Sus scrofa: one gene and its partners. The protein of the gene in region 2 interacts with the protein of the main gene of each other region in a pairwise test. Links are inferred from orthologs where the notes say so. Each region holds a gene or a part of one and is shown on either strand. Other genes may lie near its edges.

Region 1 (4,479 bases), on a different chromosome or scaffold from region 2:
GGGGCCACTGAAGGCAGGATGGCATGGATAAGTGCAGGCCACTTGCTGGCTGAGTCACTTGGCTTCTGTGAAACACACACTCACAGATGCCAGCCTGTAGGGCGCTGTGAGCACTCGGGACAAGAATGTGTGTGAAACCCTTGGCAGGTGCTGATGTGACCCTGCCCTCCACCTAGCTGGGGCCTTCACTCCAAGCTTTCCAACATTTGCCTCTGCCCACTGCCTTGGATTCAGCCCTGGGGGGTCAGTCCTGCCTGACTTCTGCCTCAGTTTCTGTCCCCTAGCCATTTTCCTGTTTCTGTCCACAGTCTCCCATTGCTCTTAAAGTTCGCACTTCTTACTAAGGCCTACGGGGCCTGGCCACCCCCCTGCCACACCTTGGCCCTCACCCCAGGACCTTTATCCATGCAGCTCTCTTTCCCCTCAGTACTGCCCCATTTTTGTCATTCTGGACCCAGCTCAAGTCTCCTCCTGAGAGACTTTTCTGACTACACCTTGGGGAGATGGGGCCTCCTTCACAGTACTTCCTTGTTTCTTTCACAGGACTGAGCAAAAGCAACAAAAACATGAAAATGAAATAAAGCTACTCTGTCAGCCCACTAGACTGTCAGCTTCCTAATGGTAGAGAACTTGCTAATCTTTTTTTTTTTTTTTTTTAAGGGCTGCACCTGTGGCATATGGAGGTTCCCAGGCTATGGGTCCAATTGGAGCTGTAACTGCTGGCCTAAGCCACAGACACAGCAATGTGGGATCCAAGCCACATCTGCGACCTACACCACAGCTCACAGCTTAACCCACTGAGCGAGGTCAGGGTTGGAACCCGCATCCTCATGAATACTAGTTGGGCTCTTTACCACTGAGCCACAACAGGAATTCCAGAACTTGCTAATCTTGTTCTCTGTTATTCCCAGTGCCTAGTGTCTGATGCTTAGCAGTAACTTGCTAGACATTTGCTGGAAGAAGTGAGCTTATTAAGCACCCACTGTGTGTCAGGCTCTGGGGACGCTACAAGTGCTGAGACCCAAGCCCTACCCCGTAGGTGTTCATGTCCTAAAGTAATCCCCCTACTGACGGAGTGCAGGGAGAGGTCTCAGCAGGGCACTGTCCCCTTACTGTGGATGCCTTCCTCTTCAAGAATCCCTGGCTGTAGCTACAACTGCCTGTTATTTTTCTCTACACAGCTGTTTACTCCCCAGCCCTTGTATTTGCATATCCCTTATCTGCAAGGGTGTCTTGAACCATCTCTGAACCTCCAAATGCTCTGGTGTCTTTCCCTCTCTGAGGCCCTCAGCATGTGGGATTCGAGGTGCTGTCTGCCTTCCCCACTGCACAAACTGAGAAGTCCTCGGTGGCAGGCAGGCAGAGGATTGCATTTGCCTCCTCCTAGCCCTCAGACCACCGGAGGCACACAGACCTGCTTGAATGGTGCATGGAAGGCATTTTTTCCCCCAAAAGGCCTTATCCTCTGAGATGCCCTGGGCTACTTGTCACCGCTATGTTCGCCTTTCCCCTGACTTCTGGCCTGTGGCCCTCCGTTCACAGCTCCCTCCTCACTCTGTGGCTGGGGCTCTGGCACTGCCTGGCTAGGCTATCTCTGGCCAAGCTTTGACACTGTCTGTGCATCCTCTATGGCCAACTGTCAGTGTAGCACAGGACCCCTGCTCTTGGGGACTCTGCCCCTCCTCTTCTTACCCTGATCTCTAGAACCATTTGATCCTGCCTCCCCTCCACCTCCTGAGAGCTAAACATCCCTACATGACCATCCCCAGTCTTGGCACAGGCCAGATGGCCCACAGGGACTCAGAGGTACTCCTATGGGAGGTGATAAGGGTAGAGGAGGCCTTCCAAGTTCAAAGCTGCTGCTAGACATTGATGCCTGTGGAGCCAAGAGGCTGAGAGCTAGGGTCTGCCTGGAAGGTGCTGGCCTGGCTTCAGTTGGCAGCTGTTGCCAAGGAAGGAAGGTGGCTCACAGGCCCTGAATACTTAATCACTCTCAACCTCAGTCTGCTCATTTCCCAAAGTGCAAATAACAATGGTAACTGACTTCAGGAAGTCGTTATGAGGATTAATGAGAGTCTGAATGTGAACAATTTAGCAGAGTATCTGCCCATAGAAAGCTCACTGTAAATATGAGTCATTACTTCCCTGAGTGAGGCTCAGAACATGCAAGTGTCTGGTCCAAGATCACAGAATTAGATAATTAGAGGATTAGGGAGGCCAATCCCCGGGTAACTCCAGACCCTACTCCTTGCTGCAGTCACAGTCAGTATCCTGCTGATTCCTTAGGGTCAGGCTCCCACATGCTCTTGACTTCTCCCAGGAGCTGGGACCTCACTTTAGAGTTTACCAGCACTTCCTTTCTCACCAACCCTGTGCCTTAACCAGAGCAGGAATTACTGCTCTCTCCCTCCCCAATTTAGCAAAGCAAACCGAGGTTCACACACAACCTGAGTTTTGGTTTCTGCCTGCAAGGGAACACAGGCCACCTGGGACATAAGGAACTAGAGTGAAGAACTCTAGCAAGACAAAACACTGAGTCTGGGAGGCCGGGGGGGGGGGCCTCCCCCATTGCTCTATGCTCCCTGCCAGTTCCCTGCCCTTCTAGGCCTCAGTTCCCCGAGGGGACAGGATCTCTCACGGCAGCTTCAGCAGGACTTTTCGCTTCTGGGGAAGCTGCCGCCCCAGCCTCTCAACCAGGACCCTCCCACCAAGACCGCCATCAGAGCTGCCTGGGGTTCCAGCCCTGGGAGTATCAGGAAACCCCAGCAGACCGCGGTTGGCGCTGCGGGAGCCAAGGCGGGGTGTACACCTGGCCAGACTTCACTCAAAGCTCTACAGCCTAGGACATGGCGGCCGTCGGTCCAAGGTCACGCGGCCGGACCCTGACCGCTGCTAGGGTGGGCCCCCCTGTTCCCCTGGATGAGGGCTAAGCCCTCAGGGAGCACTGACCGGGCTCGAGCGGCGGCCCCGATGCCTCCCCCTCCGTCCTCATGACGTGGGCGGCGCGGGGCTCCCATGGCCCCGGCCCGGCGCCGGCTGCAGCTTCGGCCTCGTCTGGGGCGGGAGCGGGGCCGCTAGTCCCCGGGTTCCTGGGCCGCCACCGCCACTGCCAGCACGGTGGGGAGAAGGGGAGGCGGCAGCTGGGCCGCCCCAAGCCCCGCCCCGGCCCTTCCAGGCCTTGGCCCGCCCCGTCCGCCCTGGGCCCCGCCCCGGCCCGCCCCCGCCTCCTCTGGCCCTCAAGCCCTCAGGCTCCCAGGCTCCTGTCTCCGCTGGTCCCGGCCGCTCAAAGTGTCAGCTCCCAGGGTTGCCGCCCCGACCTCCGAGGCCTGGCGCGGACGCGCAGCCCTTCCCGCCCCGCTCCCCGGAAGCCCCGCCCAGGCCCGGGAGTTCCACGAACGCGGGCTCCCCAGAGCCCCCGGCAAGCTCCGCCTCTGCCAGGTCCTACTCCTCCGCCAGCCTCGGGGCCGGGAGACCCAGCCCCACCTCGACTCTCTTTGGAGGGACGGCCGAGGGCCGGCACCCGCTCTGCTCCTGTCTCCCTCTCCGCTCAGGGGTCCCTTTACCTGGCACTGCCGGGTTCCGAAGGTTAAATTGTGAGGGGAGGTCCTGGCCCTCGGCCCCACCGCTGCCTCCCCCGATCCCCGCCTCGCCGTCCAGCCCGTCGCCGGTGTGAGGTGTTTGGAAAAGCGAGTCCCTCTCTGCCCTTGCCGGCCCGAGGGTCGGTGTTTCCGGCGGCACCTGGGTCCAGTCATCAGTCTTCCGGGGCCGGAACTCTTGAACCACAGACCGAGTTTCCCAGCCGGTGGGGTGAGGTGGAAGCGAGGACGAGACCGCGCTCACCACTGGGAAAAGGAAGAGGGCGGGCCCTGCGCGAGGCATTTTGGGAACGCGTGGTATTCTGGGAGCGCGGGACCCGCCATTCGCTTGTCTCACGCTTCGCAGTCGGCAGAGTCGCGGCCGCACCGGGAAGGAGGAGGAGACCTCAGGCGGTGAGGGGAGGCTGGGGGCGGGCGTGGGGAGGCCGAGGCACTCGGAGGAGTAGAGGGTTGGAGAAGGACGCGCTGCCGAGGAGCTCCGCGGGGCTCGCCGAGGGACAGGAGCGGGAAGCCGGGCCACCAGACAGTGTCGCCTCACTAGCGCTTGGAAGTGAGGTCGTTAGCTTTTCCTTCAGTTTCCATACCTCCCCAGGCCAGTGTTTTTCGAAGCATCCAGGCAATGGTCTTGAGGTCGTTTCTGGCTAGTTGCTTCCTTCCCAAGTCCTTTGCTTCCCTGCCTCCATCCGCCCCCTCATGCTTTCTACACCGTTACACAAGCTTCTTTCAAGTTTCCCTGCATCTAAGCTGTGTTCGAACCATTTTGTAAGTGCTGCTGCCTTTCCCAGGGATAATTCCTTCCCTATAGTCCTGCCGTGGTTCTCCCATTGCGTTCAGCATAAAATCTACACTTCTGAGGCTTCTCACGAAGGGCGCCTGTCTCTTT
Region 2 (3,998 bases):
ACAGGAATCAACTGACCAAGACATTATTCAAGAATGACCTGAAAATCAATTTATTGTGAATCTTTTTTAAAAAGCTGGGTGAGGCCAGCAATCTTATATATTACCCAAAATAGCTATAAAAAAAGACTACCCGACCATTTATTGTGTTTATGGGTTCTAGGTACTGTGTTATTATATATATATAATATATATATATATTACTCTCTCTCTCTATATATATATATATATATTCTCACAACTGTCCTGAAAGATAGCTATTAGGTTTATCCCCACTTTTCATGTAAAAATACAAAGGCTCAGAGAAGTCAAATAACCTGCCTGATGCTTCAGAATGACTGTCACAGCAACGATTCAAACTGCATGACCTTACTCATTAAGCTATAACTGACTCCATTTGAGTCTGAAGAGAGATCAAAATCCACAAGCTGTACAAACAGTTGGAAGAGTTGATCAAAAAAAAAAATATTTCTACCTTTGTGATGATTACATATGCGATAACTAGGAGAAATTGGAACATGGTGAATGTTCCAGCATTAGAAGGAGCCACCTCAATCTATGATGAGGCCTGGGAAGAGAAACCAGACTCCTGGTTTGAAACCAAACACAGATGCCTCTCATCTCTCTCTGGGTGGAATGCAGAGGGAGGTAGCTGACATCGTGGACAGAGAAGAAAGAAGAGCGAGACAGGCATGTGGATCTGACCTGGTCCATGCCCTGGAGAGGCTATGCTGCCCCTGCCTTGCTCTCTGTTCTTCCAATTTTCAGGATGCATGATTACAGCCAAAATATCTGCACCCAAAAGCTTAATCAACAGCACTGTATTTTCATAAAAGGAAAAACTTGAAGGCTTAACACACGAGACCCAATAACATTTTAGGAAATCAATGAGGATTCTAGCATTTAACAAATCTATGTTTCTCAACTCATTCTTGCTTCGACAATTCTAATCACCAGCTCCAAGTCAACCTGGCCCCTTTCAACTAAATGCTGGTAATATCTTCTGGTCACCAAGACAACCAAAACTTCCTCCCTCAGATGCCCCATCCTCACTGGGTTGGGTACTGCTCCCAGGGTGAACCACTCCACTAAACTAGCCTGATGGGTCACATACCCACCTGAATCTCAGTCTAATTCTCCTCCTCAGATTTTTCGTAAAAAAAGAATGCATCCTCAGGGATGAGTGGGCCCAAAAGCATCCAGGATTTTAATGTCAAGTGTACACAAATTCAGGATAGGTCTTGGAATCTTCCTTCATCTCAAAGCCCAGCAAGTTTCCTTCTGGTGGGAGAGTTCAGTTTCAGCTCTGTTGGCTAACACTTCATACAGGTCCTTAAGTGTGAAATCCAAGGCCAGTCAGAAACTAAGTATAAATTAGTCTCAAAACACGAAAATCTTTTCTAAAATTGTGACTCTGTTTGCACCAAATGCCACTACAAGTCCCAATGTGGCTTGTTACCTCTGGTGTGACCAACCTACAAGTCTGCATGGGACTGAGGGGTTTTCTGCAGTGTGGGAATTTCACGGCTAAAACCAGGACTGTCCCAGGAAAACTACAGTGGGTGGTTACCCTTCCTGGCAACTTAAGTATTTGCTGAATGAAAGACAAATCTGATTCCACTTCAGCAATGAGAAATAAGCATAGTCTCCAGTTGTCATTTATTTAATTTTCCTGTCATTTGACTCTCAAAAATTTTCATTTCCTTGAATGAACAATGGTCTCAATTTTCCCCATCTATAGTTTTAAATTCTTTATATTCAGACATCTGAGTAACTACAAGTAGAGGATACCCTAACTTACCTCCACCCTGACCTCTCCTTTTGAATTACAGACTCATATATCCAACTCTTTACTTGACAATTCTTCCTGAATACTTAACAATATATCAGTTATAATTATCCAAAAGACAGGGAAGCTTTCTTTCTCCCCTGATACATGCTACTCTCCAAGATTTTTCAGTCTCAATGAGTGGAGATCCACTTGGTTCTTCACACCAAAACCTAGAAGTCATCCTAGATTCTTGCCTTGCCCTTATACTCCACGTCTAACTCATCAGCACGTCTGGGAAGCAATGCAGAGAAGCAGAAGGAATGCATACCCCAGAGCAACCTGGCCTCTCTCATTAACAACTGCTATGGCCTCACTGGTTCTTACGGTTACTGACGGCTGAGTCTCTAGGGCTTTACGATATTCTGTGAACTAGAAATGGCCAAGCAAATACACATAGAGAAAACTCATTACCTTGACAACTACTATCACTGTGTCACAAAATGAAACTATACCACAAGATCCCATAAGACAGAAACACCAGATTTTCTTTTGACCTAAAAACCAAACAAAACAACACTAAGGTTCTTCTCACCTTTTACACAATAGAACCCTTATGTGTGGTAACTAAATTCGACTTTTCTGTTTCTCATTTCTCTTTCCATTTCTTACTGGCGACGGGTTGGACCACATTAGTAATTCGTATGTGATCACAAACTAGGTTTTTGCTAAAAGTCTAAAGAGAATCACAATTTAGTCCTTGGTTTAAATATCTGATCTCCGTATTCTAAAGGGCTAAGATTGTAAGAATTCTCCCTGAGGAAGGGCTGTCATATTTTGCTGTGAGTTAAAGTATATTTAATGTAACTTTTAAACTATCCAGTAAGCGGGCAAATAGTTCCACAGTTTGCCAAAATGAATCCATTAAAAAATATTACCTTATTTAGAAATTATCTGTCAACACTATAATGAATGCTTTGTACATGAACTGGGGAGGAAAAAACCCTTGAACATACCTCTTCAAAGCCCATTTCAAATAAACATTCAACAGCTCCTCTGACAGGCAAAAGTCTAGTAGAAAAAGTTGTGTTTCCAATCCGGATAGATCTATATTTTTCATCATTAGGGTTTCTGATTTAAAAAAAAAAAAAAAAACTTTGATTATATATAACAATTTATATTTTCACCATGTTTTTACATTTCTTTTCCCATTTTATACTGGCTACACTCCTGCAAAGTAGTAGCAATCCCAAAATTAGAGAAAGCAGCAGCACAGACGGCTTAACTTTGTGGTTCCTACCTCAGTACACACCACATCACGGCTGATCTTATCAATGTTGTCATAGGGAAATTCATGAGACTTTCTATTTCTCTGCTGTTAAAGCTAGGGACTTTTACAAGTTTTTGGGCTGCTAAGAAAAAAATCCATTCAAGTTCCAGACAGGGGCAGGTTTTGTCTATTTTGTTCTGATGAATCTCAATCATTAAAAACAGGACCTGATGTGTCTATGGATGGTAATTAATAAATACTCATGAGGAGTTCCTGTCATGGCTCAGTGGGAATGAATCTGGCTAGTATCCATGAGGATGCAGGTTTGCTCCCTGGCCTTGCTCAGTAGGTTAAGGATCCGGTGTTGCCGTGAGCTGTAGGGTAGGTCGCAGATGAAGCTTGGATCTGGCATTGCTGTGGCTATGGTGAAGGCCTGCAGCTACAGCTCTGATTGGACCCATAGCCTGGGAACCTCCATATGCCGCAGGTGTGGTCCTAAAAAATAAATAAATAAATACTCGTGAAATGAATGAATAAAAGAAATGAAGAAGCTATATAAAAGTGAATCAAAGTTCCTCAAAGACTTTATTTCTGACCAACATGAAGCGAAGTGTACCTTTATAGTTACTTGATTGTTCTTTCTTCCCTAGACCAATGACTGATTTTACTATAAGTTCTGTTTTAGCTCAAAATATATATTTTGTCACTGCCAGCATGGCAATATAATGAAGACAAAAATTTCTTTTACAATGATTATGATTTTGAAAAATTTTAATCAGTACTTGAAAAATCTTTGACTTCAGATTTTTAATAGCATTGACAAATTAGAAAGGCTGTAAAAAAAAAATTCAGAAAGTAGTAGTGGCTTCCATTAATACCACACTGAGGATTCTGAGGCTGTGTTGTGGGTCTAGAGAAGGAGTGCTGAGGCATGGAATGATGCATGGGCAAATGCTAGCAAGG
Region 3 (3,998 bases), on a different chromosome or scaffold from region 2:
GTGCAGTGAATCCTTTTAATCCTCCGCATGTGTTTTTGTCGTTGTTAGATGTAGCACATCTTAGCAGGTTCTACTTTGGTTTGTACCAAATGAGTTTTCTCTCAACTTTGAAAATAATTTTACCTGTAGTTATTCTATGCAGACCGTTTATAGACACTGATTTTTCAGTTACTTCAAACTTGATGTTGACCTCTCAAATAAGAACTGAGCAGAACCAGTAAAATTTGTCAATTTATCAAGAAGCAAGAAATACTACCCAAAATAATTTGCATTGTTTTTTAGTTGATTATTGATGTTGAGTCCAATGTCCTTAACTCTTGAGAAACTTCTTGTCAGGAGAATAGTCTTAAACAGGTTTATTTTCTCTGGACACATTTATTTGGCTGCTGTAGTCATGATGTAAATAACCATCCTAGTTAATCGCCATTGGTACATTGCTTTCTTTGCTTGGCTAACAAGCCATTTGAGAGCCTAACTTTGCAGCCTTTTTTTTTTAAGGCCACACCCGCAGCATATCCTATGTTAGGGGTCAGATCAGAGCTGCAGGTACTGGCCTACGCCACAGCCACAGCAACTCGAGATTTGAGCCACCTCTGTGACCTTCATGGCAACACCGGATTCTTGACCCACTGAGTGAGGCCAGGGATTGATCGATCCCATGTTCTCATGGATACTGGTCGTGTTCGTTTCTGCTGAGCCATAGTGGGAACTCCTTCATTTTTTATTTTTGTAAAGAAATTTAGCTATGATGAGATATTGTATTTTAAATTTTGTATTTTTCCGATTTGCTTTCCTGTTAGTAGGGAGTACTGTGATGAGTGCTCTGTCTAGCAGTGTTGAAGTATATCATATTCCTTTAGTGTCATTGCATAGTAAATATGGTGTTTTGCCATTTCAATGATAAAATAATCCATACTCTGTTGTGCCTTAAAAGCACAGCAGAGTCCAGTTCTCCCTCGTTTGTGGTACTCTGAATAGCAGTATAGAGCATTATGGTAGTGCCACATGGAACCTCTGTTGAAACTACTCAACTCTGATTTGGTAGTGCAGAATTAGCCATCAATAACAATAAATGAGGGTGCACGACTGTGTTGCAATAAAATGTTGTTTATGGACATTGACTTTTGAATTTCTTATAGTTTTAACATTTCACCAAAAATGTTTTTCTTTAACCATTTAAAAATGTAAAAACCATGTTTAGCTCTTTGGCTGTGCAAAAACAGGTCATAGGCTATATTTGCCCTACAGGCTATCTTCATCACTATCTGTCTAAGTGTATCCTTAGACTCTAGGATGTAGAAGAAACCTAAATTGAAATAATATGAGAAAATAGGAAAAACAAAAATTGTTATAGAAAAACAGCAGAATCATAATAAATTAGAAAGTAGGGAGAGTCAAATCTTTTAAATCTGTTAAATTAGATAGAATAAGAACAAAAGGGAAATGAAAAAGCTAAGAAGTGAAAAGTTCACATAATGAGTTTGAGCATATATTTGAGTTTGATTGTATCTAGTCAGCAAGTGAAAACCTTGTATGTTGAACAAATTTAATTTTCAAAGACTTGTTGAGTTCACATAAATTTAGCTGTAGCTCTCAACAAAAAGAGAGAGTGACAGTTAACAGCCATCTACACATTAATTTAATTGTCATAACCACTCTTTCAACTAAATACTGCTTATTACATCATTTTACAGATGGGGAAACTGAAGTATGAAGAAGCCCCCTTAATTTGGGGTTGAATTCATTGAGTGTCAGGACTCAGTGAAAACGAAAATAGATTGGAGGCCTGGACAAGAAGGCTTCCTTCTTTCTTAAGTGAGCGTATTGACTCCTGAATATGATTCTAATTAAGTCATCCTGGGGGAAAAGTTGGCTCAGACGTCTTCAATTTTTGAGATTTTTCAGTATTTTAATGAGTATTTTTAGTATTTTTACCATATCTAGTTTTTGCCTTAAATTGACTTTTGAACCTAGCCTTTCCATAAAACAGGATTTTCCTGTATATTCAACCAGAATGTATCAAATCCATAAACCTTCCTTTATTGATATATGTTAGTAGGCATGTTGTTTTGGAGATCTTAGCCATAAAATTTTTTCTTAGTTCAATTGATAAGTAATTGGTATGTGTATTTATCTGCAGTTGCTAAAATTATGTACAGTAGATATGTATTTTAAAACTTTCACTTTTGTTTATATGTCTTTTTCTTGATAAAAATGTTCTTTTTTTTTTTTAAACCAAACTTTCAGCTAGTATGTTCAACACACCAGGAATGCAGAGCTTGTTGCAACAAATAACTGAAAACCCACAACTTATGCAAAACATGTTGTCCGCCCCCTATATGAGAAGCATGATGCAGTCACTTAGCCAGAACCCTGACCTTGCTGCACAGGTGAGTGTGTAATTGTATTGAAAAGGACTAATCAGTGTGGATTGAAACAGCTTAATCAGTTATTTGTGATTTGGACACGTTTGTTTTGTGCATGCTGCCTTACACTGGAAAAGTAGGCAAACCACATCTCCAAATTTTTGGACAGTTTGTTTCCTTACAGTAAATTAATACTTCATAATGTAATGGAAACAGCTTCATTTCCACTGTTCACTGGCTAGAAAGAAGTGCAGGTTTACTTTGTATCCACATGTGTTGATTAAGGAGATGAATACAAAAGTTTTGAATGCTCTCTCTTTTAAAGCCTTTTCTTCAGTGTAATGAAAATCTTGAAAGTGATTGAGAAGTGTTAATACATTTGAAATACTTACATTGGTTAAGTCACAGAGATTTTGAATAATAGTCGTGTTCAAAATGACAGTTATAAAATGGCCTGAAATTGTTTAATATAAGCAGGGAGAGATTGTGGGAAAAGTATTCTTATTCTTTCTGTTACAGATCTCCCCCTGGTCTTTTATTAAATCATTTTCTAACTTGTTTCTGAAGAGAATAAGAAAATCAGTGGATCTCAATCCTAGCTGAACATTTAGGATGACTTTGGAAACTTTAAAATTAAAAGAAAAAATCTTGACCCTGTCCTGAGATCTTTTCATGTAACTGTATTGGAGTATAGGACTCCCCTACCCCCCACCCCACCCCCCAAGTTCCCTAGGTGATTATCATGTACCCCTAGGTTGAGAACCATTGGCGTTGAAAAATCTTGGCAAATGTAAACTAGGCCTTCATCATCTGTGATTTATATTTGCTGTTTATTAAAAAACAGTCTGTGGAGTGTTAGGAATTTGAAATAGTTTCCTTTATAGTCTCCATTTCTGAAATTTTAAAAGCTTTTAAAGTTAATCACTTTCTTCATTATGTCAAAGGAAATGGTTTTTATGTTTCTAAAGTCTGAAACCATATCAATTCAAGTATATAGAGATATCTTTGAGTTAACAATCCTCAGCAGCAGCTTTCTGTCCTCTTAAAATTTGTGGAGTTGGAAGTTTTTATTTTTTTATGTTTTTTTCCTTATACAGGTCCACCTGTGGTATATGGAAGTTGCCTATGCCACAGCTTGCAGCAATGCTGTATCCTTAACCCACTGAGCCACAACAGGAACTCTGAAATATAGAAGTTTTTAGATAAAGTTTTGTATATGCTTTAAATTTTGCCTATCGTAGGTACATTTAATGAAATATTTTATTCATAAGAAAACTATTAAACTGAGTTATTATTAGTATTAAATGCTTCAACTTTTGTTTAAAATACCCATGGGAAATATGTATGCAGACCAATCCTATTTGTATGTTTTTAAATGTATGTTTGATTAATACTAAATATTAAATGTGTATCTTTTTTTTTTTTTTTTTTTTTGTCTTTTTTGAGATTTCTTGGGCCGCTCCCACGGCATATGGAGGTTCCCAGGCTAGGGGTCGAATCGGAGTTGTAGCCACCGGCCTACGCCAGAGCCACAGCAGCGCGGGATCCGAGCCGCGTCTGCAACCTACACCACAGCTCACAGCAACGCCGGATCGTTAACCCACTGAGCAAGGGCAGGGATCGAACCCGCAA
Region 4 (3,998 bases), on a different chromosome or scaffold from region 2:
TGGTTAATTTAGTTGTATCCTAAGTTTGGGAAACACTTTATGTGAAAGAATCTGAGAAACTAGCAAAAAAGTCCATTTAACTTCCTAAATCTCTTTTTCCCAAGCTTATCACTAGTGATACATTGCCTCGTAGAAAACATACCCATGGGCTTTTTTAATGCTTAGGCCATGAAATATTTTTGAGTTTTGTATAGCATTCTATTTCCTATTAGCTTGGAAAATAATATATGTATATACATATATTTTTCCTTATATAGCTGTCAAATAATTTTTTAACAATGATGGAGGGTGGGGAGTTGATGAAAGAGAATTTGATTTCTTTTCATTCTTGTTTACTTCACTCAGAACTTTCTTTAATAATGTACAAGGAGTCATATCTTTTTAATGACTGAATAATCCAGAATCATTCTTAAGTAGTACGGTTGCAAAGTTACAGCTTTCTCTCATGTTTGTATTAGAATTCTTACTTTCCTGAAGATACTTCATTTATATCAATATATTGTTTCTCTTTGTCCTTGAAATCACTACAGCAAATTAGCCAACACCAGGAACATTTTATTCAGATGTTAAATGAACCAGTTCAAGAAGCTGGTAGTCAAGGAGGAGGGGGTGGAGGTGGCAGCGGAGGAATTGCAGAAGCTGGAAGTGGTCACATGAACTACATTCAAGTAACGCCTCAGGAAAAAGAAGCTATAGAAAGGGTGAGTTTAAGTAAAACTTAAAAATTCAGCTCCTTAGTCCCACTAGCCGCATTTCAAATGCTTAAGAGTCGCATGGTGCTAGTAGTTCCTGCATTGGGGTAGCCCAGGTAGAGGGCATTTCCATCATGGGAGATGGCTCTTATGGGCAGAGCCACATGGAGCCCTGCCTGGGGACTGTAGTAGAGACAGTCTCTTCTCAGCTCTGCTCTCCATTATGTTCTTTGTGAAGCCAAGGGACTAGCAGGGAATATCAGTCTAGCATGAACCTAGTTATAAACATACTAAGAAACTAAAAATTTCATTGATGTTTTAATACCCAAGAAGAAAAAATTGATCTTAAAGTATATGCCTAATTCAAGATTTTCCATTTTTTAATTTATATTTCAAATTTTATCTTACTGTTGTCTCTGAAATGTAAAATAGATATGTAAATGAATTGTATAAAATGTGTATACAGTAAACATCAGAACCTGGTATCATGATTCTCTTTTCATCCTTAGCAGATCAACCTGTACAGGTTGTGGCACCGCAGTAACCTAGTTTTTATGATACTGTTAACTAGTCTTCGTTTTCTCTGGGCCCAATTGTTAACATTTGTAAATAGGGAACTGTAGTGCTTGCCCTGTCTTATCTTACAAAGTACTTTGAGATGGAAATCAGGAAAAGTGCATTCTAATAATTAGAAAAGTCACCTGTACTATAATTTGTCTTTGTTTATGACATAAACATATCAAGTATTCAAGGTTTATAACTGTTTCTTAAAAGATACTTATATATTGTGCTGGGGCTTTTTTTTTTTTCCCCTCAAATAATAGAAGTGACAGTTAACATTTGCCTCAGTTGTCTATATCAACCTTTTTGTGAGGTTGGATGATCAGTTCTTGATTTCTCTGTTGGAGAGGGTTTTTTTTGTTCTTGCTTTTGCTTTTAGTCATAGAAGAGAACATTGCCTAACCTAAGGTCAAAAGTTTTAATCCTGTGTTTTCCCCCAAAGAATTTTATAGCTCTTACTACATTTAGGTCTGTGATCCATTTTGAGTTAACTTTTTGTTTATGGTGTAAGGTGTAGGAATCTAACTTGCATGTCTTTTCCTGTGTATATCCTGTTGTCCCGGCACCATTTATTGAAATTACTGCTCATACCCCATTAAATGATCTTGTCATCCTAATTGAATAATATGTTGACCATAAATGTGAAGGTTTATTTTTGGGCTTTTTCATTGATCTCTATGTTTATCCTTACGTGATTCCTTTATTTTCTTGATTAGTTTGGCTTTAGTAAGTTTTCAAATCAGGACGTGTGAGTGCTCCATATTCGCTCTTTCTCAAGATTGTTTTGGCTGTCTAGGCCCCTTGCATTTTTTTGTATCAGTTTTAGGCTTAGCTTGTCCAATTTCTACAAAAAGAAAACCGATTGAAATTTGATAGATACTGTGTGAATTTTTCTGTAGATCAATTTGGGGAGCATTACCATGTTGGCAGTTTCTTTCAGACATTTCTTATTTTTCTTTTTTTTTGTCTTTTTAGGGCCATACCCACGGCATATGGAGGTTCCCAGGCTAGGGGTCTAATCGGAGCTATAGCTGCCAACCTACACCTCAGCCACAGCAATGCAAGATGTGGGCCACGTCTGCGGCCTATACCACAGCTCACGGCAGCACTGGATCCTTAACCCACTGAGCAAGGCCAGGGATTGAACCCGCATCCTCATGGATGCTAGTTGGGTTTGTTAACTGCTGAGCTATGACAGGAACTCCCCAGAAATTTCTTTACTCTTTGATTTGTACTTCTTCCTCCCCCAACCCCCCTTTTGGCCATCCACAGCACATATAGTTCCCTGGCCAAGGGTCAGATCTGAACCATGGTTGTGACCTATGCTGCAACTGCAGCAGTGCAAGATCCTTAACCCACTGTATCAGGCCAGGGATCGAACCTGTGTCCTGACACTGTAGAGTCACTATCAATCCCATTGTGCCATAGCAGGAACTCCAATTCGTACTTCTTTTGCTAAATTTATTTCTAAGTATTTTTATTCTTATAACACTGTTAAAGTTGGAATTGTTTATTTTTGCATTGCTCATTGCTAGTTGTATATAGAAATACAATTTAATTTTGTGTCTTGCAACATTCCTGAACATATTTATTAATTCTGATAATTTTTATGTATATTCTTAGGATTTTTATGTTTAAGGTATCATTTGTAGGTAGACATAGTTTTAATTCTTTTTTAATTTGGATGCCCTTTATTGTATATTTATTTGCCTAATTGTCTTATCTAGATCCTCCTGTGTATTGTTGAATAGAAGTGGTGAGAGCCAACGTCCTCATCTTGTTCCAGATCTTAGGGGAAAATAAAACAGTCTTTCACCTTTAGTATAATGTTACCTGTGGGTATCATTAGTTAGATTCCTTTTATCAGGTTGAGGAAGTTCCTTCTATTCCTAGCATGTTGGATGTTTTTATCACAAAAGGGTGTGGGATTTTGTCAAATTCTGTGTTTATTGAAATGATCATGTGGTTCTGTCCTTTTTTCTGTTAATATGCTTTATTATATTGATAAATTTTTGTATGTTGGACCAACATTGCTTTCCTAGGATGAATCCTTCTGATCATATTGTATAATAATTTTTATATGTTGCAAGAATTGGTCTGTTGAGGATTTCTGCATCTATATTCATAATACTGGTTTGTGATTTTCTTGTGATACCTTAGAGTAATAACTGGCCTTAGAGAATGAGTTCCTCCCTCACCTATTTTTTGGAAAAGTTTATGAAGAATTGGTATTTAATTTTTCTTTAAATAGTTGGTAGAATTCACCGGTGAAGTTATCTGGCCTTGGCTTTTCTTTTGGGGATGTTTTGTGATTACCAATTCAGTTTCTTTTTATAAGGCTATTCAGATTTACTGTTTTTTTCTTAAGTCATTTGGAGTGGGTTTTGTCTTTCTAGGAATTTGTTTCATGTACATTATCTAACTTACTGACATACCATTGTTCTCAGTATTCCCTTGTAAAAATTTTTATCTCATAAAAATTAGTGGTGGTCCCACATTTATTTTTACTTTTATTTTTGCTTTTTAGGGCCGCACCCGCGGCATGTGAAAGTTCCCAAGCTGGGGTCAAATTGGATCTGCAGCTGCGGTCCTACATCACAACCACAGCAATGCTAGATCCGAGCCACATCTGTGACCTCCACCATGGCTCATGGCAACGCCAGATCCTTAACCCACTAAGCGAGGCCAGGGATTGAACCTGCATCCTCATGGATACTAGTCGGATTCATTACTACTGAGCCACAG
Region 5 (4,682 bases), on a different chromosome or scaffold from region 2:
CCTGGCCTCGCTCAGTGGGTTAAGGATCTGGCGTTGCTGTGAGCTGTGGTGTAGGTCACAGACACAGCTTGGATCCCTCGTTGCTGCGGCTGTGCATAAGCCGGCAGCTACAGCTCCGATTACAGCCCTAGCCTGGTATCCTCCATATGCCATGGAAGCAGCCCTAGAAAATGCAAAAAGACAAAAAAAAAAAAAAAAAAAAAAAAAAAAAAAGACGCTTGAGGGGTCACCCCATATTAATTAAATCTGAGTTCCTAAGATGGGGAGAGGGTGGAGGAAGGGGTTTTCTAGTGTGCATCAGCCTTGACAATCACTGCCCCAGGGCGTAGTCCTCATCCTTCACTAAAGCAAGACCCTTTAGCACCACTCCTAGGCCTGCATCTTGAGTCTAGATCTGCACCCACATTCCCCAATCCCCAAGCCTCTTTTGTCACTTCTCCTAAGGTTCGCCATGCAGGACTTTATCAGCACGAACATGGTATTTCAAACATGCTTCTCCCTGTGGTCCCTTCTGGTCCAAAGTCTACCACGAATACTTATCCTTCAGAGTCAGCCAAAATACCATTGGCTCCGTGGGACGTAAAGAAGAGCCAGAGATTTCTAGGCAGAATGTTGTACTAAAAAGAATATTGGGACAACCAACAAATGCAAGGTTTAGTATCTGGTACCGTCACTTACAACAGAGTAAACTGTTATTTGAAACTTGGTTTCCTCAGGTATAATACGGTTACCTGGCAGAGGGATAGAGGAGATTACACATAAAATGCACCCAGCATGGGGCTCATAGCAGAATACTCCCCTCCCCACTCCACAGTCCACTCATAACATTCCCTGCAAAGCGCTACTGCAAATGGCATTTTATTATGTTTATATTTCTCTTTCCCCCACTAGACTGTGAGTTTTATAAATATCGGAACTACTTCTTTTTACCTTTGCATCCGGGAGCATAAAAGTGCCTGGGATAAGACAGGAGTTTGAATGAAACTGAGATGAATAAAGAGAATTTAGTAGTCTCCTGACCTCAAAGAGCGTTTACTGTGTTCTTCCTCCTCAACCCCAATTCACGCTTCGGGGGCGACCGTGCCACCCAGTCTTTGGTAGGGAAAGGAGAGAATGTGACCAAGACTGGAAAAGTAAGGATGCGCCTTTCATCAGATGAAACATCCAGAGGACGTTTTCACCGTGGGTTTAAAAGAACCCGCCAGTCCGTGCTGCCCTCCAGGGCGGCTCCGAGCACCCTCAGGCGTGGGACCTGGGGAACCTGGGTTTACGAAGAGGTTACTCCGCGAGAAAATTCTGAGGCCACTTCCTTTTGGGAAAGAAGCGGGTCAGGACAGGTGGGCGGGCGCCGGAAGCGGGGGCGCGCGGGCCTTGGGGGAGGCGGGGGCGCGCAGGGACCGCCCCGCCCGCCCCGCCCCGCGGTTGCCAGGCAACGACCCCGGAAGTCGCGGGAGGCGCGTCGGCGGCGGCGTCGGGAGCCGGTGAAAGATGGCGGAGGGCGGTGGCGGCGAGGCGGGCGAGGAAGAGCCGAGGACGCCGGGGCCGCGGCCCCCGAGCGCGCGGGACTTGCAGGTGCGGCGAGCGGCAGGGGTGAGGGCGCGGCGGCGGGGACGGCGCGGCCGGGGGCGTGTCGGGGCCGCTGTGGCCGAGGCGGAGCCTTCCCCAGACCCGCCCGGGGACAGAGTTGGGACTCGGGAGCCGTGGGTCTCCCCGGGCGGCGCGCGGGACCGCGGTGCTGGTAGAAACAGGTGTCTGAGCGCTGCTTCCTCGGGTGCCCCTGCCTCGCTTCCCCCACCCCACTTGCAGTTTAAGAAGCAGCTGTTGCTTTAGAATGGCATTTCACGGGGTCGGTTGAGTACTTCACAGGTTGGTGCTTCGGGCAGGAGACTCTGGAAGAAAGCTCTCTCTCCTGTGGCCATAGGGGAATCAGCATCACTTCAAAAGTCACAGCCTCTGCGGGCCTGATCTTGCTTATCCTGGAGGCTGTTTCTGGCTTGATCACTTAAATGTAAAGAGGGTTCCTTTTTATCAGATAGCTTTTTCTTGTAGAGGGGTAACCTAAAAAGTATTTCACCCTATGACTGCACAGCTTGGTTGTAAAAGCTACAGTACAGAAAAGACTGCACAGAAGAAACGGGAAGATAAAACTTGCTAATATTGAAGGACGTTGACATTAGCCAGATATGAGCGCACCAAATCTTACTACTCATTTTAGGGGTTTTTTTGGTTTGTTTTCGTTTTTACTGTCTCTTTGTAAGATCATTGATAAAATTCAACAACCAAACATCTGTAAGGAACTATCGTTAAAAATAGATGGCACTAAATCCAAGCCTTGGTAGAAAAGTTCTGTTACTTTATGGTCACATTTTCATTGTGTATCTGTAAATGAACGGATACTGAATACCTGTCCTATAACATACTGCTAAGCTCTGGGAACGCAGAGATAAATAGGACATCAAATCTACCGCGGAGGCTGTGACACTGATGAAGAGTATAGAAGTATAAAAGGCATTTCACTATTATTTGCAGAAATAATATAGGAATATTTTTAGCATAACGTTTTCAGATGGAGTATGGCTGAGTGCCAAGATAAGCTGTGCATAAAATGTTGAATTTGGAGAATGGAGTGATCAGTTGTCAGGAGACAAAGTCAAGGTAGCATAGTTCTAGTGTTCGTAAGTCTGTTCAGTAGTAAACAACCAAGGAGTAGGAAGGTCTTATCTGCCTCATCTCTTCTGTTGTACACCACTAAGAGACATATGCTGTTGGGGAGAAAAATGAATTTCTGGTCAGAACAGCTTGGGTTTGCATTTGGCCCTGCCACTTAGTGTGAATCTCGGGAAAGTGTTTTAACCTCTCTGATCCTCCGTGTCTTTATTTTCTAAACAAGAGGTGGTGTTGATGGTGTCAAGGATGAAATAGAGAAATGTCTATAAGTGCCTCTTCGGTCCCATGTTATCCTGGCTCAGTTACTTGCATAGTAAATATTTGGTTCTTTTTCCTTAAAAGGAGAGAAATGCTATCACTTGCCCTGGTTAGTCCAATCTAATGCCATTAAAGTTAAAACTATAACTTAATATCACGTCCTGAAAACCTGTTTCTTCTTTTTATGTGGAAAGTGAGAACAGCTTGGTTAATGATTGTCTGATACTTGACACTTAGACTTAATCCACTAGATTAAGGTATGATTAATTGTTGGAGATAATATGATAGATGTCCCTAACTGTGATCAAGCCTTACTTTCTACCATCACTTAGAAAATAGGATTTCTTTTCATCTCCTATCTACCTTCTGGTAGGTAGGTTTAGGTAGCTAACTGATATTGTTATGAATGTGATTTGGTATATAAAATATGCTAAGTATTGATAATGTTTCCTTTAGAATTTAACAAAAATGTGAAGAACTTGCAAAGACACCTGAAAACAACCAAGGTGATGACGTATAAAGAAATAGACTAGTATCAAAGGTTTAAAAGAATTGGATAGTGTTCTTCTCTCCAACTGGTTTCTTGAATATTGATTATGTGGGGATTATCGTGTTATTGTTTAATCTAGCCATGTTTATTTTGCCACGCCTCCTAGGATTTGTGGGCATCTAAATCTGGAGCGATTTCTGATAGCCTAGAAAGCCTTCCAGCCCTGTGAGCATCCAACTCAAAAGTGCACCTTAGTGTGGCAGCTAAGGTGTACACACTTAGGGGTACTTTTACTTGTTCCTGTTACAATCACCCTTTTCCTCAATGATACCGGGAAAGCCTCTTACAGCGAGTTGACTAGAAAGTAAAAGTACCTATTGAAAACTGAGTAACTCTTAAAATAAGCATGGCTTGATTAAACAATAGCAAGATAATCCCCATATAATCAATATCCAAAAAACCAGTTGGGGAGAAGAACACTGTCCAATTCTTTTAAACTTTTGATACTAGTCTGTTTCTTTACACGCCCTCACTTTGGTTGTTTTTAGGTATCTTTAAACCTTCGGTGCTAGCGTGTTTCTTTACACGTTATCACTTTGGTTGTTTTCAGGTGTCTTTGCAAGTGCTCTCTCTCTCAAATCAACAAGTAGATCTTGGGCCCCTTCGACCTCCAAAATTGGGAACATGCAGAGGGGAAGTTGGGGACAGGGTTGTCAGTGACAGTACTCACCCCGGGAACCTCAGGCTCATTAGTATTTTTGAGCATTTTCAGATCCCCTTGTCTCCTCTGGTGCCCCTCAGCCCTCCATACATGGCCTTAACAGTTGCTTAAAGTATTTAAGTATATGCTTCTGCCCCAGATTTCCTCCAGAATAATATGAAAGGAAAAGATTTCTGTTTGTATATTTTTATTTCTGGGTAGGTTGGAGTTGGGGAGCATTGGGGCAACCTCATACTTCTTAGGATTAGGAGCGGGCTGGGGGTGGGGGCAGAGAGGAGTCTGGGAGTGAGAAAGGAGTAGACTGTCTGACCCTGAGTTACACTTGCCGCAGCAGCCTCTTCCTGCAGGAGACGAGTCTGCTTCTCAGTTTTAAGCGCAGCAGAGCCACCTGGAAGGCTTGTCTAAGCAGGGCTGTTGGGCCCCACCCCAGAACTTCTCAGTCCCTTGGTCTTGGGGGAGGTGGTGGTGGCTGTGCATCTGCAGCTTTCAGAGGCGCCCAGGTGATGCTGATGTAGCTCTTCTAGATTTAAAATCCCCATCCCACCT
Region 6 (4,438 bases), on a different chromosome or scaffold from region 2:
TCACTTCAGTTTCATGAGACGAGGGCCAGAATTTAGTTTGAGATGGGACAGGGCTTTGAAACCATACCTTAGCCACTATCTCATACAAACTGTTTTATATTGGTCCATATGTGTCCATCTTCTCAAGCAAAAGTTTTAAACATTTGCCTTTTTTTTTTTTTAACTTTTTAAGGGCTGCACGTGCAGCATGTGAAAGTTCTCAGGTTAGGGGTCTAATTGGAGCTACAGCTGTGGGCCTACATCACAGCCACAGCAATGCCAGATCCAAGCTCTATCTGACCTATGCTGCGGCTCACAGCAACGCTGATCCTTAGCACACTGAGTGAAGCCAGGTTTTGAACCTGCATCCTCATGGTTACCAGTTGGGTCTTTAACCCCCTAAGCCACAACGGGAATTCTTATAAACACTTTTTTTTTTTTTTTTTTAATGCTGATTCCACCGGGACAGGGATCGAATCCGTGCTACAACAGTGACCCAAGCCACTGCAGTGACAGTGCCGGATCCTTAGCTCAATTTGCTGCCAGGGCACTCCTCAACACGTTGTTCTTAATACCAGCCCGTGTTAAAAGCTATAAATACCTTTCATTAGTCAAAATATCTTCAGAAGGTGGTATCTAGCTTACCCATGATGTTCAGTAGCCAAGTTGGGATCTGAACTTCTTGAAGGGAAGAGGTGGCCTATTCTTGTGTGGAAGCTTCTTAGTTCAGGGTGTGTGGTAAAGGGACAAGCAGCAGGACCTGGTTAGATTTGGGGAAATGAGTGAGGTGGCAGGGGACTGCACTGTGTCCTACTGGGATGGGAATGGTGAAAAGATCAGGTTCTGAAGCAGGATATGAAGGAGGTGGGGAGTCCATCACCTCCAACCAGTCTGCCATAGCACGTTTTTCACCTTTGGCCAACCAGCGCTTCATTTCCTTGTTACTTGGACAGGCCTCTTTTGTGCTTCATTCCTGTGTCCTGCAGCCCAGCCCCACCCTTCTGGGAAACATCCCAATTAGCATATCCAGGGAAAGGAGAGAATTTTGTATTCAGTGTAGGAAAGCCTTGGAAGTTACATACTCTACATACTGCGGATCATGTTGGAGATAGTGGTTAGGGAAGGAGCAGCAGAGAGGGGGGAGACCCAGGAACTAGAACTGTATAAATTAATTCCAAAAATCCGGCTCTTCCTAAAGAATAAATGAGGGCATAAAATGGCTCTGTGTGCCTGTTTACACAGCCAAACGTGTTTGGCATTTTCATTTAATTGTTGGTGACCTTTTCAGTATCCTTTCTAGGTCCCTTCAGGGTTAGACAGGAGTACTGTCAGGGTGGCCAGACTAGAATGAAACTAATTTGGAAAGAGCAAAAAATATGAACTAAGATTTTACGGTAGAGATACAAGTATCAAAGCAGATTTTTGTTCAACGTCAACAAAAAAGGAAACTGATGGGCGTGATAATTGGACGTCGGCGCCATTTTGTGGCCTCATGACGTCACCGCTAACGGGGATGGCGTCACTCCCATGAAGCCACGTGATGGTTAAGCGAGAAAACCTCCCTCTACGCCGACTGAGTAGAAGTTGGTCTGCGTACGCCTGACTCAGGGCCGCTCTCGTGCGCATGCTCACGAAGGCCCATGGCGGCGGCGGGGGGGGGGGGCCCACAGCGCGCAGGTCACGTGTCCTGGTCGTCGGCGCGCGCACCGTTTGCCCCGGAAGCGGTCGGCGCGCGGCGCGGCTAGGCGCTAAGATGGCGGCGGCGTGAGTTGCATGTTGTGTGAGGATCCCGGGGCCGCCGCGTCGCTCGGGTCCTACCATGGCCGTCACCATCACGCTCAAAACGCTGCAACAGCAGACCTTCAAGATCCGCATGGAGCCTGATGAGACGGTGCGAACCAAGCCTGAGCCTGGGAACGGGAGCGACGGGTGCCAGGGGTTCGGGGGGAGGCTGGGATCCCGACGAGAGACGCGGGGAAGACGACGCGGGGCCGGGCCCTGCCCATTCTCCCAAACTGCCCTACTTTTCCAGATTACCCGATGGTCCCCAACCCAGGCCCTGGTGGCTCGGGTGGAGCTCTAGTGTCGATCTCCAGGCAAAGCCCCACCCCCGGGGCGCCTGCCAGGCCCCGGCTCCAATGTCAGCGCCCTCGTGGGGCGCGGGAGCCGCAGGCTCAGATTTTCTGTCGTGCTGCTGTCTCTGGGACTGGGCCTCCTAGTTCCCAGCTTTGTAGGCGTTTCCTCTGGACGTTGGTGGCCGAATCTACGAATAGTGGCCAAGAGATGCCGGGTGATGACAGCAACGACGATGATAAAGATAATAAATGGTCTGAGTTTCAATGGTCCGTGTTTGTTCTTCACCAGTCACTGAGCGTTTTCGTATTATCTTACTAAATCTTCAAAGTAGGCTTGTCATTTGGGGACTTAGTCTTCTTGTTTTACAGATGTGGAAATTTAGGAGTTAAGGAACGTAGACATAGTCGCATACAGCAAATAACAGTAGGGGTTTGCCTCAAGTGAGCCTATGGACGAAACCTTATGCTGTCTTTTTAGCTGAGAAGAGACTTCGAATCTAATATGCGTATTTGGCATTATTCGCACAACTTATCTCATGAAGAAGATGTTTAAGTTCACTTTTTATAGAGAGAGAAATAGATTTTCTCATCAGCCTGTTTGCCTTTGGGCAAGTTAGTTAACAACCTATCTGTGCCTTTTTTTCTTGGACATAAAATGAGGCTAATGGTAATTTTTTTACCCAGTTACAATGAGGATTTAAACTTGTGACACATGTATGTTTACAATAGTACTGTAAACTTAGGATTCTACCACTGAAAACCACTGTCAGCAGCATGGAGTGAGGAACCCTCCTATCGCCCCTTTTTTCTGTTTTTCATTACATTGTGTTTACATTTTCTGACTTCCATCTCCCAAATAAGCGTCATTTCTACAAAAACAGAGTTTGTTGAGTTTTGTTCTCTGTTGTGTCCTCAGTGCCTAAAACTGCACCTGGCACATAGAAGTGTGCAGTAAATACTCCATTGAATGATGGGATAGCCTAGAATGCTTGATTATGAAGCTTAGCTTCTCAGTCATCAGGGCTTGTTTTCTCCCCTCTCCTCCTATACTATAAGGGAAGAGAGAATCTTGGGGTTTGCCATGACTGTGTACCCCTTTCTCCAGGTGAAGGTGCTAAAAGAGAAGATAGAAGCTGAGAAGGGTCGTGATGCCTTCCCCGTGGCTGGACAGAAACTCATCTATGCTGGCAAGATCCTGAGTGACGATGTCCCCATCAGGGACTATCGAATTGATGAGAAGAACTTTGTGGTCGTCATGGTGACCAAGGTAGGTGAGGTAGCTGGTTGGGAGGGTGGGTGGATTAGCTTGGGAGCTGGCCAAGAGCCTGTGTGCCTAAGAGAGATTAACCATGAACAGGGTGGGGCTGAGCTGTGGTGGGATGTGGCGCTAGATAGGGATACTGATGCCTGCTCCCTTTTCTGGGTTTCACAGGCCAAAACTAGCCCAGGCACCTCAGTACCCCCAGAGGCCTCACCCACTGCTGCCCCGGAGTCTTCCACATCCTTCCCATTGGCCCCTGCCTCAGGCATGTCCCACCCCCCATCTCCTGCCAGAGAGGACAAGAGCCCATCGGAGGAATCGGTCCCCACGACATCTCCGGAGTCCGTGTCAGGGTAAGGCAGGGAGCAGCAGCCTCAGCTTGGGCCCTGGCCTCCCAGCACATTTCAGCGCCTACGTCCGTGGTTCCACACACCTGCGGGGAGGGCAAGCCGCCAGAAGCCAGGGTCCGATTTCTCTCTCTTGAATTTGCAGCTCTGTTCCCTCTTCAGGTAGCAGCGGGCGAGAGGAAGACGCGGCCTCCACGCTAGGTGGGTGGGTGGTCCCCAGAGCAGAGATGACTGGGTGCCCCAGCCATCAGCTGGGCCTTGTGTGGGTGTGGGAGGGCCCGGGAGCTGCCCTTCCCACTCCTTGGTGACCCAGCCCTTGCTCCTCCTTCCACAGTGACTGGCTCTGAGTATGAGACAATGCTGACAGAGATCACGTCCATGGGCTATGAGCGGGAGCGGGTCGTGGCTGCCCTGAGAGCCAGCTACAACAACCCCCACCGAGCCGTGGAGTATCTGCTCACGGTGAGGTGGGGCTCTAGCCTCCTGGGGAGTCCTCAAGGGAGCATGTGGGTGTCAGTGACCTGATGGGTGATCAAAACCTGCCCTCCAAAGCCCATGGTTTATGGTTCCAGCTAGGAAAGGTTTCCTCCAGGAACCTGGACAGGAGTGGTGGGGTGGGCCTGCAGAGGGCAGAGTGGAGGCCTCATGTGTCTCCTGCCAGGGCTGAGCATGCAAGAGGAAGGCAGTGGGCAGTCTGCATTGAACTAAATAGGATCCCTGACAGGGAATTCCTGGGAGCCCCGAGCCAGAACATGGTTCTGTCCAGGAGAGCCAAG
Region 7 (4,749 bases), on a different chromosome or scaffold from region 2:
AATAATGATTAAACTGGATTCTGGAAGACTTTCTTTTTTTTTTTTTTTTAAAGCAGCAGAACATGCCTTCAGCAAAATCCTTTATAAAAACACTCTGAGAGGAGCTCCCACAGTAGCGCAGTGGTTAACGACTCGGACTAGGAACCATGAGGTTGCGGGTTCGATCCCTGGCCTTGCTCAGTGGGTTAAGGATCTGGCATTGCCGTAACCTGTAGTGTAGGTCAGAGACGTGGCTCGGATCCTGCATTGCTGTGGCTCTGGCGTAGGCCAGCAGCTACAGTTCTGATTAGACCCCTAGCCTGGGAACCTCCATCTGCCACGGGAGCAGCCCTAGAAAAGGCAAAAAGAAAAAAAATAAATAAATAAAATAATCTGAGACAGCTGCTCTGGTTGAATGTTCTCACTACTAGACATTGTGCCACAACTCACTAAACCTTGCTCCCAACCATCTCAAGGCAACCACTGTAGCCATTCAAGGAAATTCTTGCAACACACTTTGCAAAACACTGCTCTAATCCAAACATTTCACTATGTTTTTAGCATCTTTTAAAAATATATGGTTATTTTCTATAATAGTTTTTGTTTTTATCATTATAGCTGGTTTACAGTGTTCTCTCAATTTTCTACTGCACAGCATGGTGACCCAGTGACACATACATGTATAGATTCTTTTTTCTCACATTATCATGCTCCATCATAAGTGACTACATATAGTTTCCAGCACTACACAGCAGGAATGGTTATTTTTCATAAAAGCGGAAAAGAAATTCCTTTACATATAGGTCAGAAAAATAAGGCTCCAAAGCAGTCAAGGGACTTGCCAAGTCATTAACTAAATAAGATAGGAACCAGAGCCTTGATTCCCAGCTTCATGCCATCGCTCTGGTCACTACTCTATGCTACCTCAACCAACTATCTTATCAAATTTCTCAAACAGGCAATTTTATTCAAAATTGTTCAAAAAGCTTTAGTCTCATATATTTGCACAACATACTATATGGCTCCAATTTTAACCTGCCAATAAATAAGCCAACTCTTTATAGAAGCCAGTTTATCCTCATTCCAATAACATTTCTCAGATTTCTCACCAATTGTCACACAGTCGAGTATCCTGGTCATCTAGAAATTCAGCCATCTTTAGCTGTTCCTGAAAACAACAAAGGAAGAAGTGTGTTCTTTCAATTTCATTTCTGCTTTAAGCATGACATGCAAAACACACACACACACAAAAGAAAAAGTGCAAAAAAAAAAATCACCAAAACCAGTACATTTTATTTAATACATAACACACTTTGGTTTTAGCTTTTTATTATTTTTTAATTCTCATTTTGAAATAATCTGACTTGCAAACCAGCATAAAGAACTCCCATATACCTCTCATCCAGTACATCATAAATAGTCACAGTAAAATTACCAAGTGCAAAAAACTCACTAATACTAGTAATTAATCTACAATTATTTAATTTCACAAATCAGGCCACCAATAGTACCCTTTTGCTGGTTCAGCAATCCAGAGTCACATATTGCACTGGTTGCTATTTCTCCTTAATCTTCTTTAATCTGGGATATTTCTTCAGTCTTTCTCTTTCATAACCTTGTTGTATGTACTGGCTAGTTATTTTGTAGACTATCTTCAAATTAGGTTCATATGATGTTTTCTCATGATTAATACATTTTTGTCAAAAATACCATAGAAGTGATGTTGTGCTCATCTCATTGCATTCAATCAGAAAGCAGGTGATGTCAACAGTCTTATTATTACAGATGATGCTGACTTTGATCACTTCATTGAAATAAGTTTCTACCAGGTTTCTCCACTGTAGTTTTTCCTTCTTTTAAACAAGATGTCAATGTTGAAAGCAAAGCCCTGGCAACTTTATTACCAGTACTTACTTTATATCATCCTTTTCTATGGCGCAAAAAAATTATCTTCTAAAAATACTGTCCTCTAACAGGGCTTTTTTTCTGGGGTTTTTTTTTTTTTTTTTTTTTTTTTTTTTTTTTTTTTTTGTCTTTTCTAGGCCGCACCCGCGGCATATGGAGGTTCCCAAGCTAGGGGTCCAATCAGAGATGTAGCCGCCGACCTACACCACAGCCATGGCAACGCGGGATCCGAGCCGCGTCTGCGACCCACCTTACACCTCACGGCAACGCAGGATCCTTAACCCACTGAGCGAGGCCAGGGATCAAACCCGTAACCTCATGGTTCCTAGTCGGATTCTTAACCACCGAGCCAAGACGGGAACTCCCTAACTGGGCGTTTTAACATTTCCAAACTAACACTTCTTCAAAACACGCCCTATAAGAGGTGAACGAATGCATGGAAGCCCTATGGCAAACTAAGTTCCCTTCAAAATTAGAAGGAGCCCCTCTAAGTGGTCGGCCAGGATTTCCCTGTGCCCAAAGGGGTGGAGACACCACACAGGGTCCACACCCTGGAGGTGGCGGTTTCCAACTGCCCCCTCCCCCCAGCAGGGTGGAGGAGGTCCGAAAAGAGTGGGGAAGGCACCGGCTTCGCAAATATTAGCTGCCATTCATAGTGTGTTTACTGATGATTAAATGCTTTACGTGGATAATCTTCTCATCCAGACCACAACCCTAAAAGGTGAAAGTCACCATCCCACTGCTGAGACCGCGAAAGAGGAAGTCCAGGGAGACAGCTGCCGCACAGTTGGTAAGAGTGGGGACTCGAACCCGAGTCTGTCGGCCTAGAGCCCCCACCAGGCTACCCGCGACCCCTCACGCTGGCAGCTCGGGGCCCAGATCTGCCCGGGGCGAGGTGCCCATGGCGGGGCTCCAGAAAACCGTCACCTCCCAGCCCCGGGGCCACGGCCGGGAAGGGGCGGTGACGCCGGGGGCTGCTGAGGCTCCGGATCCCTGAGGAGAAAGTACGGCCTCCCTCACTAGCCAGGCGAGACGCCGCTTCGCGGGCACCTTTCTCCTTACGAGAAACCCCTGCTGACCCCCGGCCCAGAAGCCCCTAGCCCACACACCGCCCTTCTCCCGAACTGGAGACCTATAGGAACTCGCGGGCCGCAGCTACCCTCACCTGGGACGAGACGAAAGACGCCAACACGAACCGCCTGCCAGGGACACTGAAGCCTCCCTTCTCAGTCAGCCCCCAAGCTGAACAACGGCCCCCGGAGCCGCCTCACCACTTCCGACCGTCGCGGAGGAGTGCGCCCATTGGCCAGGGGCGACTCTGGTTGTCTGCCATTGGATAGTAGTGTTGTCGCTCCCAGAGCCCCGCCTTCTGCGCGTCGATTGGCTCCTCAGCCCCACAGAGGCGTGTCCCTGGAAGTCCCAACCCATGCGCCTCTGGAAGGAGGCAGAGACTTAAGCTGGGAACTACCTCTGGGCTCAGCAAGTACGCATGACACAGGCGGTTGGTATTTGCATGAATAATACTATATAGACATTACTAATATGCCTAATATATTACGATAAGTAATGGCATTTGTCCTCTTGTCATGAGCTGTTAATAATTATTAGTCATACTTGTTGCAGTTATAATGTCCTCCTCACTGCTCATGCAAGATATCTCTGCGAGGCTCTGCCCATGTTTGAGACCTTTGCTTCTTGCGGTGGTAGAGTGAGCGGCCGAGATGCATGGGTTGGTTGGTTTGTTTTGGGTTTTTTTTGTTTTGGTTCGGTTTAGTTTTTTTTGTTGTTTTTGCTTTTTAGGGCCGCATCCTTGGCATGTGGAGGTTCCCAGGCTAGGGGTCTAATCAGAGCTGCAGCCGCAGTCCCACGCCACAGCCACGCCAGATCTCAGCCGCCTCTGCGACCTACAACAGAGCCCAGGGCAATGCCGGATCCTTAACCTACTGAGCGAGGCCACGGATGGAACCCGCATCTTCATGGATCCTAGTTGGGTTCACTAGCCAATGAGCCACGAAGGGAACTCCCTGAGATGCATGTTTGAGTTACAATCTTTCTACTTGCTGTCTGTATGGATCCTCTGAACTCTTCCCTCATGAATTAAAAAAAAAAAAAAAAATAGAATAAATATAATGGAGAAAGTATTATTTACAATACAGCAATTTCGTTTTTTCTTTTTAACAATACGGCAACTTGGGTGTTTCCCTTGTGGCTCAGCAGTAAAGAATGGAACTAGTATCCACGAGGAGGAAGGTTCCATCCCTGGCTTTGATCAGTGGGTTAAGGATCTTGCGTTGCAGCCAGCATTGGCATAGGTCACAGACAAAACTCCTAGCCCGCCTTGCTGTGGCTGTGGCAGTTGTGGGATAGGCCAGCAGCTGCAACTCCAATTCGACCCCCTAGCCTGGGAACTTCCACATACGCCCCCCAAAAGCAAAAACAAACCCAGCAATTTTTTTAAATTTTAAGACTGTTTTTTTTTTTGTTTTTGTTTTTTTTGTCTTTTTAGCTATTTCTTGGGCCACTCCCGCGCCATATGGAGGTTCCCAGGCTAGGGGTCGAATCGGAGCTGTAGCCACCGGCCTACGCCAGAGCCACAGCAACGCGGGATCCAAGCCGCGTCTGCAACCTACACCACAGCTCATGGCAACGCCGGATCGTTAACCCACTGAGCAAGGGCAGGGACCGAACCCGCAACCTCATGGTTCCTAGTCGGATTCGTTAACCACTGCGCCACGATGGGAACTCCTAAATTTTAAGACTGTTTTATTTAACCTAATGTATCTGAAGCATTGTCATTTCAATATATATTCAGTATAAAAATTGAGATATTTTACATTCAAAAACCCAGCAATTTAAAGTCATTAT

What was found.
Region 1: the proteins of NGLY1 (region 2) and GUCD1 interact in binary tests that used the Homo sapiens proteins (3 or more experiments, as listed by UniProt). The two-hybrid records come from large-scale screens. The link is inferred for Sus scrofa from reciprocal best matches to the Homo sapiens genes NGLY1 and GUCD1.
Region 3: the proteins of NGLY1 (region 2) and UBQLN1 interact in binary tests that used the Homo sapiens proteins (3 or more experiments, as listed by UniProt). The two-hybrid records come from large-scale screens. The link is inferred for Sus scrofa from reciprocal best matches to the Homo sapiens genes NGLY1 and UBQLN1.
Region 4: the proteins of NGLY1 (region 2) and RAD23B interact in binary tests that used the Homo sapiens proteins (3 or more experiments, as listed by UniProt). The two-hybrid records come from large-scale screens. The link is inferred for Sus scrofa from reciprocal best matches to the Homo sapiens genes NGLY1 and RAD23B.
Region 5: the proteins of NGLY1 (region 2) and UBXN2B interact in binary tests that used the Homo sapiens proteins (3 or more experiments, as listed by UniProt). The two-hybrid records come from large-scale screens. The link is inferred for Sus scrofa from reciprocal best matches to the Homo sapiens genes NGLY1 and UBXN2B.
Region 6: the proteins of NGLY1 (region 2) and RAD23A interact in binary tests that used the Homo sapiens proteins (3 or more experiments, as listed by UniProt). The two-hybrid records come from large-scale screens. The link is inferred for Sus scrofa from reciprocal best matches to the Homo sapiens genes NGLY1 and RAD23A.
Region 7: the proteins of NGLY1 (region 2) and TRAFD1 interact in binary tests that used the Homo sapiens proteins (3 or more experiments, as listed by UniProt). The two-hybrid records come from large-scale screens. The link is inferred for Sus scrofa from reciprocal best matches to the Homo sapiens genes NGLY1 and TRAFD1.

The regions. Positions count from the first base shown.
Region 1 is NC_010456.5:49,581,896-49,586,374, forward strand, and holds the start of GUCD1 (protein GUCD1), read right to left. Parts: upstream 3,106-4,479; 5' UTR 2,993-3,105; coding exon 2,950-2,992; intron 2,913-2,949; exon of another isoform or gene 1-2,912.
Region 2 is NC_010455.5:12,667,668-12,671,665, forward strand, and holds part of NGLY1 (peptide-N(4)-(N-acetyl-beta-glucosaminyl)asparagine amidase), read right to left. Parts: intron 2,897-3,998; coding exon 2,782-2,896; intron 1-2,781. UniProt on the Homo sapiens protein: Specifically deglycosylates the denatured form of N-linked glycoproteins in the cytoplasm and assists their proteasome-mediated degradation. Cleaves the beta-aspartyl-glucosamine (GlcNAc) of the glycan and the amide side chain of Asn, converting Asn to Asp.
Region 3 is NC_010452.4:31,306,521-31,310,518, forward strand, and holds part of UBQLN1 (ubiquilin-1), read left to right. Parts: intron 1-2,247; coding exon 2,248-2,390; intron 2,391-3,998. UniProt on the Homo sapiens protein: Plays an important role in the regulation of different protein degradation mechanisms and pathways including ubiquitin-proteasome system (UPS), autophagy and endoplasmic reticulum-associated protein degradation (ERAD) pathway.
Region 4 is NC_010443.5:248,485,555-248,489,552, forward strand, and holds part of RAD23B (UV excision repair protein RAD23 homolog B), read left to right. Parts: intron 1-530; coding exon 531-701; intron 702-3,998. UniProt on the Homo sapiens protein: Multiubiquitin chain receptor involved in modulation of proteasomal degradation. Binds to polyubiquitin chains.
Region 5 is NC_010446.5:74,434,405-74,439,086, reverse strand, and holds the start of UBXN2B (UBX domain-containing protein 2B), read left to right. Parts: upstream 1-1,436; 5' UTR 1,437-1,488; coding exon 1,489-1,572; intron 1,573-4,682. UniProt on the Homo sapiens protein: Adapter protein required for Golgi and endoplasmic reticulum biogenesis. Involved in Golgi and endoplasmic reticulum maintenance during interphase and in their reassembly at the end of mitosis.
Region 6 is NC_010444.4:66,093,603-66,098,040, reverse strand, and holds the start of RAD23A (UV excision repair protein RAD23 homolog A), read left to right. Parts: upstream 1-1,563; 5' UTR 1,564-1,798; coding exon 1,799-1,870; intron 1,871-3,159; coding exon 3,160-3,321; intron 3,322-3,486; coding exon 3,487-3,668; intron 3,669-3,807; coding exon 3,808-3,863; intron 3,864-3,996; coding exon 3,997-4,124; intron 4,125-4,386; coding exon 4,387-4,438. UniProt on the Homo sapiens protein: Multiubiquitin chain receptor involved in modulation of proteasomal degradation. Binds to 'Lys-48'-linked polyubiquitin chains in a length-dependent manner and with a lower affinity to 'Lys-63'-linked polyubiquitin chains.
Region 7 is NC_010456.5:39,576,587-39,581,335, forward strand, and holds the start of TRAFD1 (TRAF-type zinc finger domain-containing protein 1), read right to left. Parts: upstream 3,196-4,749; 5' UTR 3,050-3,195; intron 1,148-3,049; 5' UTR 1,136-1,147; coding exon 1,089-1,135; intron 1-1,088. UniProt on the Homo sapiens protein: Negative feedback regulator that controls excessive innate immune responses. Regulates both Toll-like receptor 4 (TLR4) and DDX58/RIG1-like helicases (RLH) pathways.